Linked DNA regions of Anolis sagrei. The protein of the gene in region 1 interacts with the protein of each later gene in a pairwise test. Links are inferred from orthologs where the notes say so. Each region holds a gene or a part of one and is shown on either strand. Other genes may lie near its edges.

Region 1 (9,928 bases):
TGGTTGCAGAGAAGGACCCGGTACAGGGGGTTGTTGATTCTGAATTAAGAATCAAGGTTTGGCTGGGTTTAAGCCTGTTGTGCCAGCTGTGAAACCTTATGAAGTGTTTGCCTGAGTTTACTCATGAAACCTTTCCAATGTAACCATCAAGATTTATGCCTCTTTTGAAGAACAGTTATACATTGTTATACTCCTGTTAAAATAAACTTGTTGCTGTTTTCCTCAAGCCTTGCCTGATACAGTTTCTTCTAAGTTGAACAGCCTGCAATAATAAAGTCAGCCAGAAACAGTCCCTTTATAAAATAGTTCCTAGGCTGATATTGATCGTTGCCCGGCTTCCCTCATAGATTAGGTGGCAGTGGGTGTTTTACCACGTGCACCTTCACAATTGGTGGTATTCGGTGGCATTAAAACGGTCATCGTTACAATTGGTGGCAGCAGTTTAATAACGACACTCCTTCACAGCGAGGATGAGGAAACTGCAATTTGGAAATGCCATTATTTATGTATACACCAATTTGGGTTTATAGAATTTGCTTAGAAAACATGCAGCTATTTGACTCTACACACCACTTCTTTGCCCTACCAATGCTCTGTTTTTGTATTTAATCCCAGATGTGTTGAGTTGGAAATTTATTTACAGTATTTGTATACTGCTTTTACCACCTCTGGGGGGACTCAAAGCGGTTTTCAAAGAAATTAGGGGCATTCAATTCAGTGGGACATTCTTCCAACTGAATATGATAGGATTACACCTCTAATTACAAATGTAGCTGAAACAAAAGGGCAAGTTAGGAGGGGACTATTTGTCAAAACATCTTATTCTATTTATGTCTAGAAATTTAATGTGGAAGTCTGCCTTTAAAAGCAAATGAGATCTTTACCACAACAATACATTCCTTTATGTTATATAGCCTAAACATAAGAGATGATGTCAATAATGTACGTGTGGCGATGGTGTCCTGTCTATATCCTATACCTACAAGGATGACTTTGAAATGTAAATGTTTCATATCCTGATCGACAAACTCAAACATTTAGTAAATAAATATATTCAGTGACAATCCTGATTTTTTTTTCAACACACTGCTGCTAAACAGGAACTTTATACTTTTCTTTCAAAAATAAAATAGAACGGGATAAACTTTTTAAAAAGTTAAGTTCCTGTGTAGTGGCACTGTCCAGAAGAAAAAAATGTATGAAATTATCAGCACTAAACCAAACTAACATATGACTATTTATTACTTATAGCTATACATTGTTGCAAACATAACAGGATACAAGATAACAGGATACAAGATGTGAATGCAGAATGGTACAATGACAGTTGGAATGGCCTTGGATTTTGATATTGAATTACGTGATTTTAATAACTGGATTTTAATGTTTGATACGTTTTTAGCAGTTTTTAATGTATATATTTATTTGCTCGATGTATGTTGTGTAGCATTGAATTGTGCCTTATATGTTAGGCGCTCTGAATCCCCTTTGGAGTGAGAAGGGTGGGATATAAATATAGCAAATAAATAAATAAATACACAAATAGCAAAATGAATGGCAAAAGTGTAAAAAACATTTCTTTTAAAAATACCAGTACATGTAAAAATGATACAAAATTATCCCTTCTCCATTCAACAAAACTTCTTTTAAAAGGCCCCATTTGCTGGGGTTAGGAACACAGGGCCCCTGTAAAAGTGAAAAACCACTGTTGTATTGGAGATACAACAAAGTACCATACAATGAACGCCTATGTCCTGTGAGGACGAGACAGTGGAAACTGTGAAGCACGTTTTGTTGTACTGCTCTTTTTACCGTGACCTTCGTAAACATTTTATAAATCCAATTCTAGAAAGTCTACCAGGGAGATCTGCAAGATTTTATACAGATTATCTCCTGTCTGACTAACACCCCAAGGTCACTGTCAGGATTGCTAGCTTCTGTGCAGCAGCTATGGCTTGTTGCCCCAAGATGCTGACACAGACTTAGAAAGTTTTAACATATATTTTATCATTCATATCTTAGTATTTGAATGTTTAACACCACTTTAATTACCATATTCAATATTGGGTTTTAAACTCTGTTTTAACATTGCTTCCTGATACCCGGATGTGTGTGTAACCTGATGCTTGTATACTTCTGTACTTGTGCTTGTACATGTGTGCGTACTCTGACACTTGCACACCCTGTCACTTGTACCTTTTTTATGCTGGTCATTGGCCGTAATAAATGTATATATATATATAACCACAAATAAAGCATTGCTTTTTTTTTAACCTGAGAGAATTCTTTTCTAGGAATGGCCAAATCTGCTGAAAACTGACCATAGAATTGCACTGAAGGATTGTTGTTGTTCATTCATTCAGTCGTCTCCGACTCTTCGTGACCTCATGGACCAGCCCACGCCAGAGCTCCCTGTCGGCCGTCACCACCCCCAGCTCCTTCAAGGTCAGTCCAGTCACTTCAAGGATGCCATCCATCCATCTTGCCCTTGGTTGGCCCCTCTTCCTTCCTGAAGGATATAATAATAATAATAATAATAATAATAATAATAATAGAAATCTCTGGGGCCCTATCTACGCTGCCATATAATGCAGATTGAAATGTTATATGGGCAGTGTTAACCCATATAACACAGTTAAAACTGACCATATGATGCAGTTTCAAACTGCATTATAAGGTAGTGTAGATGAGGCCCCTGTCTTCCAGCATGACTGGAAGTAATTGACCATAAAGTCACAATGGAGGAACTCGAGATTCTTAGAAAAACAAATCCATGAATAATCAAATTTGCAAATGTGGAAATGATTGTAATGTCAACTGTCATTCAGATTCTATTTGGTGCTATTGCAAAAGTTGTAGCATGGTAGGATCCTTGGCCCTTCTCCTCAGATAACATATAGAATACTATAACAGATCACTATATAAAATATAAAATAACAGCAGAGGAGATGCTCTTTAAAATAGGGATCTAATGGACAACACATTAAACTTTCTATAGAAACTTTCTATAGAAACTTTCTATAGAGCTTTTAAAGATGGCAATCAAATTATATGTCAAACTTCTCCATGCTTAAATTATCCATCTCTTCAATCCTTTTTCATGGGGCTTGGTTTCTAGACCTTTTACCATGAGGTCACGGAGAGTCAGAAGCATCTGAACAAATAAACAACAAATTAAATGTAAATGAAAAGTTCTCATGAGATATGATGAGTCTCCACACATTTTATTACAATTTATGTATGTATCTCTTATACATGGTTGGTTTAACCTCTGGGTTGTTAGTAGAACTGAATAACTGTGTCACAAAATGATGCATGTCTAAAAAGGTGTGCCACCAACGTGAAATGTTTAGAAAGCTCTGCTCTAAAGCTGCAAATGCTGCCAGAACCAGATAAAGTGTACCCAAGGATATCAAACGAACAAATAAATAATTATTTTCAGAGCATTTTTCTACCATCTTTGCAGAACTGAGGCAGACAAATATTTTTAGCATAAAAGCGAGGAGGGAGGAGGATCTGGTGAGCAACCCTCATCCATGTAATTCCAAGACCAGAAAAGACTCCAAAAGAAGTCATTAAATTGTCAAATTGTGAGTGCTTTCTCCTCGCAAACACCTGGCCCTTCCTTCTACTCTGACAATCCTTTTTGGCATTGTCGGTGGTGACCTTACAGAAGAAACAAGAGGCATGTCTTAAGTTGCTCATAAAACGTTCCAGTCCATGGGTGCTCATAAAGCCTTCTTAAGGCGCTTATATGAAATCATAAAAGGACAGGGCACCAATCCATAATATCACATTGCACATGATCATTATTACATTTGCGCATTTCCTACATGCCTTTTAAAGATAAATAAAATTGAGACATTTCTGAATTAGGAATTCCCAAACCATGTACTGGGTTAGTGAAAACGCTTGAGCACAGGCTGAAATTCTTTATATGGTAGCTGATTTTGACTTTTTTATTGTGTCTGAAGTGAATTGAGAATACAGTTGAAATGTATAAAAAAATACAAATAAAGTTAAAAACTTGGCATTATACTGTATTTTCTTTGACCAGAAGCTGGCCGCTTTTGAGTGCCTCTGATGTTGCTGTAAGGGGTTCCTCCATTGTGCATGTTGCAGGGCTCAGACTGCATTGTAGTAAATCTGTGGTTTGCTCTTTTCCACACTCACATGTCATGGACTCCACTTTGTGGCCCCATTTCTTAAGGTTGGCTCTGTATCTCGTGGTGCCAGAGCACAGTCTGTTCAGCACCTTCCAAGTAACCCAGTCTTCTATGTGCCCATATTTCTCATTTGGTATCAGCCACTGATTGAGGCTCCAGGTTTTAGCCTGCCATTTTGGGACTTTCGCTTGCTGAGGTGTTCCTGGGAATATCCCTGTAGATCTTAGGAAGCTATTTCTTCCTGCACCTGTACCTTGAGACACCTGACTTGGCCAATGGTAGTCCACACCTCAGTCACATCCCATTCGGACTACTGCAACACTCTCTTTGTGGGGCTGCCTTTGAAGATAGTTTGGAAGCTTCAGCTGGTCCAGAAATTGGCAGCCAGGTTACTACTTGGAGCATCGTTCAGGGAGAAACCAACTCCCATGCTGTGGCAGCTCAATTGCCTGCTGGTTTTCTTCTGGGCTTTTTGTGTGTGTGTGTGTGTCAGGAGCGACTTGAGAAAATGCATTCATTGATGTGCTGGCTTATATCCAAACAGGGGATGAGCTGGAGATGTCACTGCTTTGGTCCCTTCACTATTGATTGCTACTTCCCGGCGGATGTCAGGTGGGTGAGGTGAGGTGCCAACATTTGGCAGGGAAGATTAAAGACCTTGGAACTCTTCAATTCCATTTTTTTTGTCGTGTCAGGAGCGACCTGAGAAACTGCAAGTCACTTCTGGTGTGAGAGAATTGGCCGTCTTCAAGGACATTGCCCAGAGGATGCCCAGATGATTTTGATGTTTTATCATCTTTGTGGGAGGCTTCTCTCATGTCCCTGCATGAGGAGCTGGAGCTGATAGTGGGAGCTCATCCGCCTCTCCCTGGATTTGAACCTGCGACCTGTCGGTCTTCAGTCCTGCCGGCACAGGGTTTTAACCCACTGCGCCACCGGGGGCTCCTTCAATTCCAATGGCAGTCACAGTGATGTCGGACTGCATGGATTTCACAGTCAATGACATGAAGTAGGAAAAGAAAGAAAAGAAAGGAGATTCAATCTGAACATGAGGAAGAATTTCCTGACTGTGAGAGCTGTTCAGCAGTGGAACTCTCTGCCCAGGAGCTTCTTTGGAAGCTTTTAAACAGAGGCTGGATGGCCATCTGTCAGGGGTGCTTTGAATGCAATATTCCTGCTTCTTGGCAGAAGGGGGCTGGACTGGGTGGCCCATGAGGTCTCTTCCAACTCTTTGATTCTAAGAGCTCTAAAACTTTTGCAGCAAAGCTCTGCTCTCCACCCCTCCACCCTCCTTCCCTTTTTCAGATCAGGGTCCCCCAAGTGCGCAGGCGCACGACGCCTCCAAGCCCCGCCCCCCTGCCTCTCGCGCGCACAGAAGGAGAAAGCGGGCTCTTCGTTTTCTTTTGCCCGAATCCTTGTCACGTGATACTCTCACTCACTCACTCTCTCTCTCTCTCCCTATGCGCGCGGGAGGGGCGTGCTTACGTCACCGCGCCTCTTCCCATCGCTCCTCGCAGCCGGAAGGAAGTCCTTGGTGCCTAGTGACTGTGCAAAGATGGTAAGCGGAGGGGCTGGAAGAGGGGTGAGAGTGAGTCCACATAAATACACCTGTGAGGGGAGGGGGCCTGCAAAGGAGGTGGGTGGGGTGAAGCCCCAATCGAGGGAAATGTGGGCATTCCGCCGGAGATGGTTTCTTTTTCGCCCCGGAGACATGGCCGGTCCTGGTTCGCCTCCAGTGGTTCTCAACCTGGGGTCCCCAGATATTTTTGGCCTACAATTCCCAGAAATCCCAGCCAGTTTAGCAGCTGTTAGGATTTCTAGAAGTTGAAGGCCAAAAACATCTGGGGACCCCAGGTTGAGAACCACTGGGTGGAGCATCCCTTCTTCGAAATGCTCGGGCCCACAAGTGTTTGGGATTTGAGGGTTTTTAAAATGAATTTTGGAAGGTTCTCAAATATAGTCATGAGATATCTCTGAGGTACAGTGAGGTCGCCGTCTAAATGAGAATTTATTTATTTACCACATTTATATACCGCCTTTCTCAGCCCGACGATGACTCCAGGCGGTTTACAGTCGGCAATCAATGCCCCCAACAACATAAAATATAATTAAAAACATTAACATATAACATAAGCCATATAAAAACAGTAGAAACAATAAAAACAATAACAATAATTAAACAATTAATTTTTTTTTGTCGCGTCAGGAGTGATTCCTGGTGTGAGAGAATTGGCCGTCTGCAAGGACATTGCCCAGGGGACGCCTGGATGATTTTTGATGTTTTTATCATCCTTGTGGGAGGCTTCCCTCATGCCCCCGCATGAGGAGCTGGAGCTGATAGAGGGAGCTCATCCGCCTCTCCCCGGATTCGAACCTGCGACCTGTCGGTCTTCAGTCCTGCCGGCACCCAGGTTTAACCCACTGTGCCACCAGGGGCTCCATAAACAATTAAATAAACATTTAAACAATTAAATTAATTGCTTCAAACAATTAAATTAAACAATTAAACAATAACAAGAATTAATGCATTTCCAACCTCACTTTAACTGCCATGGCTCCAAGATATCGAACCATGGGAGTTGTAGTTTTATAAGCTTTCCAGCCTTTTCTGCCAAAAAAAGTATTGGCGCCTCAGCAGACTACAAATCCCAGGATTCCGTGGCATTGAGCTCTGACAATTAAAGTGGTACCAAACTGCATTCATTCCACAGTGTAGGTCAGGCATGGGCCAACTTGAGCCCTCCAGGTGTTTTGGACTTCAACTTCCACAATTCCTAACAATCCCAGCCCCCTTCCTTTTCCCCCTCAGGCCCCATTCTTTTCCTTTTATGATATGCAGGATGGACACAGCATATTATTCGAGAACACAGAAATGCTGGATCACTCGAACAATCACCATGTCAGACTACACAGAGAAACCATTGAAATCCACAAGCATGTGGATTTCAACAGAAAGGAGGAAACCATGAAAAGGAACAAAATCTGGCTACCAGTATTAAAAAAAACTCTAAAATTAGAACAGCACAACAACAGAGAGGAAACAAACAAGGACATCTAATCACCTCTCAACAAAAGATTGCTCCAGGCACTGCCAGGCAATCAAATGCTAATCAAGGTGGTCAGTTGAAACATTCACACCTAGCTCCAGCAGACAAGAGTCCTTTGTCTCACCCTGGTCATTCCACAGATATATAAACCCTTTTTCCTAGTTCTAACAGACCTCACTACCTCTGAGGATGCTTGCCATAGATGCAGGTGAAACGTCAGGAGAAATGCCTCTAGAACATGGCCATGTAGCCCGAAAAAACATACAACAACCCTATGCAGGATGTGTTTTCATTCACTGGATCACTTAAGTGGCTGAGGGGGAAATGGAAAGGGCCTGAGGCTGTTAGGAATCGTGGAAATTGAAGTCTAAACCACCTGGAGGGAGGGTCCAAGTTGGCCCAGGCCTGATCTTAAGTGGCTGAGGGGGAAAAGGAAGGGGCCTGAGGCTGTTAGGAATTGTGGGAGTTGAAGTCCAAAACACCTGGAGGGCCCAAGTTGGCCCACGCCTGGTGTAGCAGCACCCTGAGAATGGGACACATGTCTAAACGAGACATCTATTTGAAACAAGAAGGAAAATCAATTGCTTCCAATGTAGAGGCTGGGGAAGGAGGAAGGTAAGGTTTCAAATAATAACAATAAACTTTATTTGTATCCCGCCCTATGGCCCCAATGGGGACTTACGGCTGTTCACAACATAAAATGACAGTATTCAAATGCCGTGTAATACAACTAATCAATAAATATGACATGACATAAATTTAAAATGACATAGTAAATCTTAACGTAAGCAATAACAAGACATTACCACCTAATTAAACAAAAACTAACAATACAATGTAACTCAACTAATACAAGACAAAAAGTTCTCAAATTGATAAAAATGTTAAAAGACGTTATAAATTCAAAAGGATATAAACCCAAAGGAGCAGTCATTTCCATGTTCTGAGCTCATTTATAATGCTGAATATTTAATTTGTCCTTCTCCTTATGTGCTTGCAAACATAATGATAAAAGTAAAGGTTTCCCTTGACATTAAGTGTAGTCATGTCTGACTCTGGGGGTGGTGTTCATCTCCATTTCTAAGCTGAAGAGCCAGCATTGTCTGTAGACGCCTCCAAGGTCATGTGGCTGGCATGACTGCATGAAGCACTGTTACCTTCACACTGAAGTGGTACTTATTGATCTACTCACATTTACATGTTTTCGAACTGCTAGGTTGGCAGAAACTGGGGCTAACAGTGTGAGCTCACCCTGCTTCCCAGATTCAAACTGCCGACCTTTCGGTCAGCAAGTTCATAGCTCAGCCATTTAACCTGCTGTGCCACTGGAGGCAGAAACGTTATTGATTGTTTTACTACACTTAGCTTAAAGATGACCTTAGACACGTTTTAAAATTTTTGAGAATGAAATGAAGTGTGTGTACATTAAACCATGTGAAAGCAAAGGCGTCACTTACTATCCCAGATCACCCCTATGGATAATTTCCGATTTTGGATGACCAGATAAGGGATGCTCAAACTGCAATTCATTCAGCCACAATGCATAGTACACAATTCTGCTCTTTATCTTCCTTCTTCACCAGTCTTTACATTTGCAAAAATTGATTTCCCTTTGTTTCAGTTCATACCGTCTTTTGAGCCATGCCATGTGTGAAGTTGGAGATAAGAGCGCATCTTGTGGATATTTATTTTATGATCATATTTCTCATTGAGTTGTACCTTGTCAAAAAGCAATCTGTGACTTGGGGGAGTAAGGGTCTGCCTTAACTGCTCCTTGCAATGTCACTGTAGTACTCTTTTTTTCTTTTTCTTTTTAAAAGGTTATGAGGTTTTCCTTCTTCTAGTTATGTTTTCTTCTGAAAAATATTATCAATATTCAAAATATGTGTGTATATGTATGTGTACATTTGTGTGTGTGTGCATATAATTTATATGAGATCTATATGCATATTTTCTGGAAAACTGCCCCAGAAAATTTATTTCATCAATTTTAAAGCTTATGTAGGCTGGGCTGTAAGAATTGACTACTGTTCTGGTAGTTTGGTGAGGTGTCTGTGCCCTTTATAAACATTATAGTGTAAAGAAATGTGGTTGATAAATAGTGGAAGGTATTTCATCTCTATTCTAGAAACATAGTTAAGTTTCTCTGCAGTTCTTCCTGACATGGAGATAAGAGCACAATTCAAGGTGCTGGCTTTAGCCTACAAAGCCCTAAACGGTTCTGGCCCCACTTACCTCTCTGAACGCATCTCCACCTATGAACCGACCAGAACATTAAGATCGTCTGGGGAGGCCCTGCTCTCGGTCCCGCCTGCATCGCAGGCGCGTTTGGTGGGGACGAGAGACAGGGCCTTCTCAGTGGTGGCCCCTCGGCTATGGAATGCCTTACCAGCAGACATCAGGCAGGCACCTTTGTTGCTGGCGTTTCGGAGAAAGGTCAAGACTTGGCTTTATGAACAAGCGTTTGGTTAAACAGTGCAACTGAACATAGGAAGACGGTAAATGGAACATAGGAATGGCACAAGGATTATGAGAACGGATCTGATTTTACGGAGGCGATGTTTGATTTGTTATTGTTGTTGATTGATGCTATTGATTTTGTTGTGTAATTGTTGTGTTTTAATTGCATGTAAACCGCATTGAGTCGCCTATATAGGCTGAAAAATGCGGTATACAAATAAAGCAAATAAATAAATAAATAAATAAATAAATAAA
Region 2 (9,279 bases), on another chromosome or scaffold:
TTAGGGCCTCTCAGTCGAGGCACCCTGGCTTCCTGCTGGGCACAAAGAGCACGTCCTGTTCAAAAGCCAACTGCTATAGGCCCAGCGCTTGACAGCACAATGCTCTTTGATTGTAGGTGAACTATAAATCCCAGCAACCACAACTCCCAAATTACAAAATCAATGTCCCCTAAACGCACCTGTATTCAAATTTGAGGGTATCGGGTATTTCTGCCAAATTTGTTCCAGTGAATGAAAATACATCCTGCATATCAGATATTTTTACATGTTAATTCATAACAGTAGCAAAATGACAGTTATGAAGTAGCAACGGAAATATTGTTATGGTTGGGGGTCACCACAACAGGAGGAACTCGATTAAGTGGTTGGTCCAGTTCCAAGAAGATAGAGAAGAATCCTCCACCTTGTGTGACTGTAGAGCAGAACAAACCACTATGCATATGTGTGCTTGCCCATAATGCCCTGCCTCATGCACAGAGGAAGAATTGTTTACAGCTACAGACAGTGTGGTTGCTGTTGCCCATTTTTGGTCTAAAATTATTTAGCCGCTTGTGCTCCTTCTATTTTTATCAGTTTTATACTTATTTATGCTTTTGACACAAAATTACAAAAGTGACAACACTTCCTGATTCTTATTGAGCTGCTCTTCCTTGAATATTGCAAGGTTGCCGTGACAGAGAGCAAAGGGCAGCCGTATCCCAGGGAACACATTATGGGTGACGTCAAACAGCAGGAAGTTATTGGTTATGCACACTACATTAATTTTTATAGCCAGGGTGGCTTGAGTGAGATTTTCCACCTTGGGAGCCACAAGAATCAAGCTGACTTGGTGGTTGTGTGCTTTTGTGTTATTTCTGACATATGTTGACTCTAAGGTGAACCCATCACAAGAAGGGTTTCCTGGCAAGATTTCTGAGACTGAGAAATTGGGACCAAAGGCTGACCAAGAATGCAAGTCCTGGTCTCCAGAGTCATAGTCCTAGCTCAAACCACTACACCAGTGGTTCTCAACCTGCCTAATGCCGGGACCCCTTAATACAATTCCTCATGTTGTGGTGACCCCAACCATAACATTATTTTTGTTGCTATTTCATAACTGTCAATTTGGTACTGTCATGGATCGTAATGTAAATATCTGATATGCAGGATGCATTTTCATTCACTGGGCCAAATTTGGCAAAATGCCCGATACACCCAAATTTGAATGCTGGTGGGGTTGTGGGGAGGGGTATTGATTTTGTCGTTTGGGAGTTATAGTTGCTGGGATTTATAGTTCACCTACAATCAAAGAGCATTGTGAACTCTACCAATGATGGAAGGCACACAGAACTCCCATGACCAACAGAAAATACTGGAAGGGTTTCATGGGCATTGACCTTGAGTTTGGGAGTTGTAGTTCGCCTACATCCAGAGAGCACTGTGGACTCAAACAATGATGGATCTGGACCAAACTTGGCATGAATACTCAACATGCCCAAATGGGAACACTGGTGTAGTTTGGGGCAAATAGATCTTGATATTTGGGAATTGAAGTTGCTGGGATTTATAGTTGCTGGAGTGCTTTGCTGGAGTCTTTTTTATGGCCTCATAAATGAGTTAATTTGGCCTCCCCACACTTTAAGGTGGTACCTAATTTTCCTACTTGACAGATGCAACTGTCTTTCGGGTTGCAAAGGTCGACAACAGGCTACACAATTGGTTGGAAACCCACTCCAACCCGGGCTGCCTTCGAACTCATGATCTTTTGGTTAGAGTGATCTTAATGCAGCTGAAACTCAGCCAGCTGCGCCACAATCCCGGTGCTATAGTTTATAGTTCACCTACAATCAAAGAGCATTCTGAACCTCATCAACAATAGAATTGGGCCAAATTTCCCACATAAAACCCCATTGCCTTGAAGGGACTTGCTGGCCTGAACCTCCCTCCAGCCTCGCATGCTCTCCCTAGCCTGCACATGCACGCCATGTTGCCATGTGCCAAGCATGCTTGCTCTCCCCTCCCTGCTTGGAGTCTCAGAAACATCCACTCCCTTGGCTTAGTTCACCTACATCCAGAGAGCACTGTGGACTCAAACAATGATGGATCTGGACCAAATTAGCACAAATACTCAACATGCCCAAATGTAAGCATTGGTGGAGTTTGGGGGAAAAATAGACCTTGACATTTGGGAACTGAAGTTAAAGAGCATTCCGAACCCCACCAATGATAGAATTGGGCCAAATTTCCCACACAGAATTCCGATCTTTTGAAGGGACTCGCTAGCATGAGCCTCCCTCCAGCCCCACCCGCTCTCCCTCACCCCACACAAGTGCACCACGCTGCCATGCATCAAGTATTTCTGCTCTCCCCTCCCTGTTTGGAGTCTCAGGCAGAGAGGCTGGCCAATCACAGCGGAGGAGGGCTTTCGGAGGGAGAATTCGCCATCAGTTTCCAAAAGGGAAGAGAAGGACAGGCAGAGATCTCTTCAGCCTTCTCTGCCAAAGGAGTTCCTAAGACTACCAGAAATATATGTTTTCTGATGGTCTTTGGCAACCCCTCTGAAAGCTCCCTCACGACCCCTCAGTGGTCCCAACCCCCAGATTGAGAAATGCTGCTTTAGGAGGTAGGTAAAGAGGAGCTGATAATGTTAGATCTGTACTTTGTCAAGATGCCGATGGAGAGGTTCAATCCAGGAAGTCATGACTCTTTGCATATTGTGAACAGGAAGCTATGGCAGTTTGCAAAACCGGATCTTGAAGTCTCGCATTCAGAGGGTTGAAGGCGAAGATGACTTGACGGCCCGTCACAAGTACCAATGGCAAAACAATAAACATTATTACAAAACTAATGTTATTGTTAAATTCATTGCTGCGGCATGATGATGCCCTGTTGAAATTACTAATACAATTTTACATAATAAATGGTTAAATATGGAGTAAGAAAAACAAGAGAAGCCGTGTGACTTTGTGGTTTGGTCACTGAACTCTGAATACCAGAACTAGATTCTCTGCTCGGTTACGGAAAGCCCCTGAGTGAACCTTGGGTGATTCATACACTCTTGGTCCCCTGAAAAAGAAACCATGAGAAGCCAGAGAGGCACAAAAACAACTGAATTACTGAACAGTAGCTTATAGAATCATAGAATCATAGAATCAAAGAGTTGGAAGAGACCTCATGGGCCATCCAGTCCAACCCCCTGCCAAGAAGCAGGAATATTGCATTCAAATCACCCCTGACAGATGGCCATCCAGCCTCTGTTTAAAAGCTTCCAAAGAAGGAGCCTCCACCACACTCCGGGGCAGAGAGTTCCACTGCTGAACGGCTCTCACAGTCAGGAAGTTCTTCCTCATGTTCAGATGGAATCTCCTCTCTTGATAGCATGGACACCCTGATAGCATGGACCAATAGGTATAACTGTGATGATTAAAATTATGTGACTATAGGTTGAACATCCCTTATTCAGAATTCTGAAATAGTCCAGAATGCAAAAGTGTCACTAGAAGTGTCTGCGGTGGGGAGACTTTTGCTTTCAGTCCAGACCACCTTTGTTTCATGTGTATAATTATAGAATCATAGAATCAAAGAGTTGGAAGAGACCTCATGGGCCATCCAGTCCAACCCCATTCTGTCAAGAAGCAGGAATATTGCATTCAAAGCACCCCTGACAGATGGCCATCCAGCCTCTGTTTAAAAGCTTCCAAAGAAGGAGCCTCCACCACACTCTGGGGCAGAGAGTTCCACTGCTGAACGGCTCTCACAGTCAGGAAGCTCTTCCTCATGTTCAGATGGAATCCCCTTTCTTGTAATTTGAAGCCATTGTTTCGCGTCCAGAGGCGGCCCTAAGTAATTTTCAACGGTAAGCAAACAGTATTTTGGCTCCCTCCCCCCTAACCAATCATTGCTATATATTTTCTGTTTGTCGTGGGAGTTCTGTGTGCCATATTTGGTTCAATTCCATCATTGGTGGAGTTCAGAATGCTCCTTGATTATAGGTGAACTATACATCCCAGTAACTACACTTGCCGCACTTACTCCCTTGCCTGACCCGCTTTGGGTCCAGAGGCATGCCTGAAGACCCCGGCGTGTGCACCAAAAGTCACCTCTTCTCCTGACTTTCTCCTCAGCCATTGGGACCCAGAGAGAGAGAGGTGGAGGTGCCCACCTTTCCTGAAGGTAGGCACAAAAACAAAAGAGGGAGCGGAGGTGGGAGATACCTCCAGCCGGAGGGGCTCTCTCTCTCTCTCTCTCTCTCTCTCTCTCTCTCTCTATCTCTCTCTCTTGGTCCCAATGGCTGAAGAGAAAGTCAGGAGAAGAGGCGACTTTTGGTGCGCACGCTGGGGTCTTCAGACACACCTCTGGACCCGAAGCGGGCCAGGCGCGGTGGCTCCGCCCCTTGGCCCACCCGCGGATTGGGGAGAGGAGGGGAGGCGGGTGGAGCGCTGGGGGATCGGGAAAGGGATCCGTCATGGGGAAGGGATCGAACGCGGAGAACGATTGAGCACCGGCTCTGCTCGCGCACCCGGTGGCCGGGTGGAGCAGGAATGAGAGGGGCTAGGCAAGGCTCAAGGGCCCGGCCCCTTTGGGAAGAGGATCGCCCGGCAGCGAGGCAAGAAAGCCGAGACTCCCCCCGGACTGCTAGGGCTGTTGTGAGCTGAGGGAGCGCTCCTCAAGTGGCAGTCGAGGGGCATTTACAGAGGTGCCTCGGCGCCCCTGGCAAAAAAAAAAGTGTTCTGCGACGGCTTACTTCGCGTAATGGACGAGCCGCCCCTGTTCAGAGGTTGTGAGGTCTGTTGGAAATTAGCCAAGTGGGGTTTATACATCTGTGGAATAATGTCCAGGGTGGGAGAAAGAACTCTTGTATGAATGTTGCAATTGGCTGCTTTGATAAGCACTGAATGGCCTTGCAGCTTCAAAGCCTGGCTGCTTCCTGCCTGTGGGGAATCCTTTGTTGGGAAGTGTTAGGCCAGACCTGAAACAATCAGGGCCAGCTAACACTCCCAACAGTCAGGCTTTGAAGCTGCAAGGCAGAAAGATTTTGGGACTCAAGTTGCTTTGGAGTGGAGAGCTTTCGCTCCCAGATCCACCCTGAGAGATCTTGGGACCTGGGACGCAACGGAGGTTGGAAGGCTTCCTCCTACATCCTGAGACCCCCTCTCTTTCCTCTTCCCTCCCTTCCTTCCAAACCTCCTTTCGCTTTTGCTTTCACTTTCTCGGGAGCGGAGAGAGGAGAACTCAGTCGCGCGTGGGCGATGGCGCTGCAGGAGGTGTGCGGCGCGCCCTTGCCCTCCAAGGCTTGGGACTGGGACCCCCGGGAACACCTTCGGGTCTCCCCCAACGAGGCCGGGCACTTCGCCTTCGGGTTGCGAGAACCTCGCATCGCTGTGCCGCTCGGGAGGCAGGTAAGGAAGGAAGGAGGGGAAGGTGTCGGGAGCCTGATCCGAGCTCGACCTTTGAAGGGAGGGAGCCTCTGAGCGCGTGCAGAGTGCTGCCTTGGAAGCCCACTGCCTTTAGAACCCGGGAGCCAGGAGGGAAGGGTTTTAGTTTGGTGGGGGTGTGAACTTCAGGGCTTTCCCTTTCCTAAACACAGCTCAAGGGGCATCTACACAGGCATGGGTCAACTTCGACCCTCCCTCCAGGGAGACTAGGACGCAATGGAGCAATGGCTTCAAACTACAAGAGAGGAGATTCCATCTGAACACGAGGAAGAACTTCCTGACTGTGAGAGCCGTTCAGCAGTGGAACTCTCTGCCCCGGAGTGTGGTGGAGGCTCCTTCTTTGGAAGCTTTTAAACAGAGGCTGGATGGCCATCTGTCAAGGGTGATTTGAATGCAATATTCCTGCTTCTTGGCAGAATGGGGTTGGACTGGATGGCCCAGGAGGTCTCTTCCAACTCTTTGATTCTATGATTCTAGGGAGTTTTGGACTTCAACCCCCTCAATTCCTAACAGCCTGGTCCCGAAATGCTGCACCACTCTCACAACCACCATGGCAGGCTACACAAAGAAGCCATTGAAGCAGATGGACAAGTCGCAAAGGGAGGTGTGCTAAGCACCTGCTCTCCTTTTGGGTTGTTGTAGGTTTTTCTGGGCTATATGGCCATGTTCTAGAGGCATTCTCTCCTGACGTTTCGCCCGCATCTGTGGCAAGCATCCTCAGAGGTAGGGAGGTATGTTGGAAGTAGGAAAATTGGGTTTATATATCTGTGGAATGACCAGGGTGGGACAAAGAACTCTTGCCTGTTGGAGCCAGGTGTGAATGTTTCAACTGACCACCTTGATTAGCATTTGATGCCCTAGCAGTTGTTTGGGGTGGCTTGTTAGTGACCTACCTCTGAGGATGCTTGCCGTAGATGCAGGCGAAATGTCAGGAGAGAATGCCTCTAGAACAGTGGTTCTCAACGTTCCTAATGCCACGGCCCCTTAATACAGTTCCTCATGTTGTGGTGACCCCCCAGCCATTAAATTATTTTCATTGCTACTTCCTAATTGTAATTTTGCTACTGTTATGAATCGTTATGTAAATATCTGATATGCAGGACGTATTCTCATTCACTGGACCAAATTTGGCACAAATACCTAATATGCCCAAATTTGAATACTGGTGGGGTTGGGATGGGAGTTCGAAAACATGCAAATGTGAGTAGATCAATAGGTACCGCTCCAGTGGGAAGAATAACGGCGCTCCATGCAGTCATGCCGGCCACATGACCTTGGAGGTGTCTACGGACAACGCCGGCTCTTCGGCTTAGAAATGGAGATGAGCACCACACCCCAGAGTCAGACATGACTGGACTTAATGTCAGGGGACTACCTTTACCTTTACCTTTTTGGATGGGAGGATTGATTTTGTCATTTGGGAGTTGTAGTTGCTGGGATGTATAGTTCACCTACATTCAAAGAGCATTCTGAACTCTACCAATGATGGAGTTGGCCCAAACTTGGCATACAGAACTCCCATGACCAACTGAAAATACTGGAAGGATTTGGTGGGCATTGACCTTGAGTTTTGGAGTTGTAGTTCGCCTACATGCAGAGAGCACTACGGACTCAAACAATGATGGATCTGTATCAAACTTGGCACGAATATTCAATATGCCCAAATGTAAACACTGGTGGAGTTTGGGGAAAATAGACCTTGACATTTGGAAGTTGTAGTTGCTGGGATTTATAGTTCACCTACAACCAAAGAGCATTCTGAAGCCCACCTATGATAGAATTAGGCCAAACTTCCCACACAGAATTCCCATGACCAACAGAAAATACTGTCTGTGATGGTCTTTGGCGACCCCTCCGACACTCCCTCACGGTCCCTCCAGGGGTCCCGACCCCCAGGTTGAGAACCACTGCTCTAGAACATGGCCATATAGCCCGAAAAAACCTACAACAGCCCAGTGATTCTGGCCATGAAAGCCTTTGACAAAGTTCTCCTTTTCTCTTAGCCTTCAGAGTTCTTGCAGACCCACTGCGAAGGCAGTGCTGATGGGCACCGGATCGAGCTGGCCCACGGGACCACCACCCTGGCCTTTACGTTCCAACATGGAGTGATTGTAGCCACCGACTCTCGGGCATCGGCCGGCAAATACATCTGTGAGTGCTTCTGTGGACCATGGAGGAGAAAGTGTGGGTGGGTTTTAGAAAGGGGGAAGATTATGACTTTCTTTATTTCAGCTGGCACCTTGTTGGCGCGTTACAGCACCATAAATTTAACTGCAAGTGCATAAAGTTGGGCATAAAGCCAGTGTGACATGGCGGTTTGAGTCTTGGATTACAGCTCTGGAGACTTGGTTCAGAATCCCTGCTCTGGGTGAACTCTGTGCAAGTCCCACATTTTCAGCCCCAGGAAACCACCTCAGGGTCTCCATGTGTTGGAAACAACTTGAAGGCACACAACAATGTGAGTTGGATTGTGTCTTTGCTCGGTGTTTCAGAAGGAAATTGCATCAATAGGAGCATAGTGTCTAGATCTAGAGAAGTCATGCTCTCCATGCTCTATTCCGCTTTGGTTAGACCACACCTGGAATATTGTGTCCAGTTCTAGGCACCACAATTGAAGAGAGATATTGACAAGCTGGAATGTGTCCAGAGGAAGGCGACTCAAATGATAAAGGGTCTGAGAACAAGCCCTATGAGGAGCGGCTTAAGGAGCTGGGCATGTTTAGCCTGAAGAAGAGAAGGATGAGAGGAGATATGATAGCCATGTATAAATATGTGAGAGGAAGCCACAGGGAGGAGGGAGCAAGCTGGTTTTCTGCTGCCCTGGAGACTAGGACGCAAACTACAAGAGAGGAGATTCCACCTGAACATGAGGAAGAACTTCCTGACTGTGAGAGCCGTTCAGCAGTGGAACTTTCTGCCTTAGAGAGTGGTGGAGGCTCCTTCTTTGGAAGCTTTTAAACAGAGGCTGGATGGCCGTCAGGGGTGCTTTGAATGCAATATTCCTGCTTCTTGGCAGAATGGGGTTGGACTGGATGGCCCATGAGGTCTCTTCCAACTCTAGGATTCTATGATTCTATGAAATGGAACTTAGTTACTATATGGCCCAAGGAGAGCCAGCAGCATGGTTTCTGTGCATTGGTCCTGACGTATCCAAATGGACAGCATGTCCTATGACGCAGCAGAAGTCACAGAATCATAGAGTTGGAAAGGACCGCAAGGGTCACGCAGTCCAATCCTCTGGCCCTTTTGTCCTATGGGAAAACTTGAATGCCGCCTGTGTAGCACTAGAGGAAGTTTAGTATAAAGGTACTAACTTTTGCAGTCATTTCATAGGACGGCCGTCTGCCAGGGGTGCTTTGAATGTGCTTTTCCTGCTTCTTGGCAGGGGGTTGGACTGGATGGCCCACCAGGTCTCTTCCAACTCTAGGATTCTATTATTCTTTGGGTCCCCCAAAGGGTGACTGTTCTGTCACGCACTGGGTCTGAACAAATTGTCTTTATTCTATAGGACGTATACTTTAAACCCAGTGGAAGCCGGGGTGCCTCAAAGAGAGATTCTTAGGGATTTCCTGAAGTATTGGTCTCTGGAGTCTTTAATGGTACAACAAAGTCTTTATTAAGGAACAAATAACAAATCTTCAGACAACACTTCAAGGTTTTCTTATTCTAGTCTTTAAGAGACTGGCACTGACTTGGATTAACTGTACTTTCTCAGCATGAGGAAGAACCCTTTATAATCTCTCTGTTATCTGGGCCTCGCTGGTTTGGGTCTTACTACCGATCCCAAATGCGTCTGGACATCGAGTAAACCTACCAGCCAAGGCTTGAAGATACTTCAGCTGGAATTCCGTGGTTCTGTAATGCT

Evidence for each region.
Region 2: the proteins of POMP (region 1) and PSMB8 interact in a two-hybrid assay, tested with the Homo sapiens proteins (2 studies listed by BioGRID). The link is inferred for Anolis sagrei from reciprocal best matches to the Homo sapiens genes POMP and PSMB8.

What each region holds. Positions count from the first base shown.
Region 1 is NC_090023.1:31,781,289-31,791,216, forward strand, and holds the start of POMP (proteasome maturation protein), read left to right. Parts: upstream 1-5,614; 5' UTR 5,615-5,721; coding exon 5,722-5,724; intron 5,725-9,928. UniProt on the Homo sapiens protein: Molecular chaperone essential for the assembly of standard proteasomes and immunoproteasomes. Degraded after completion of proteasome maturation. Mediates the association of 20S preproteasome with the endoplasmic reticulum.
Region 2 is NC_090022.1:6,650,359-6,659,637, reverse strand, and holds the start of PSMB8 (proteasome subunit beta type-8), read left to right. Parts: upstream 1-5,196; 5' UTR 5,197-5,228; coding exon 5,229-5,378; intron 5,379-7,417; coding exon 7,418-7,565; intron 7,566-9,279. UniProt on the Homo sapiens protein: The proteasome is a multicatalytic proteinase complex which is characterized by its ability to cleave peptides with Arg, Phe, Tyr, Leu, and Glu adjacent to the leaving group at neutral or slightly basic pH.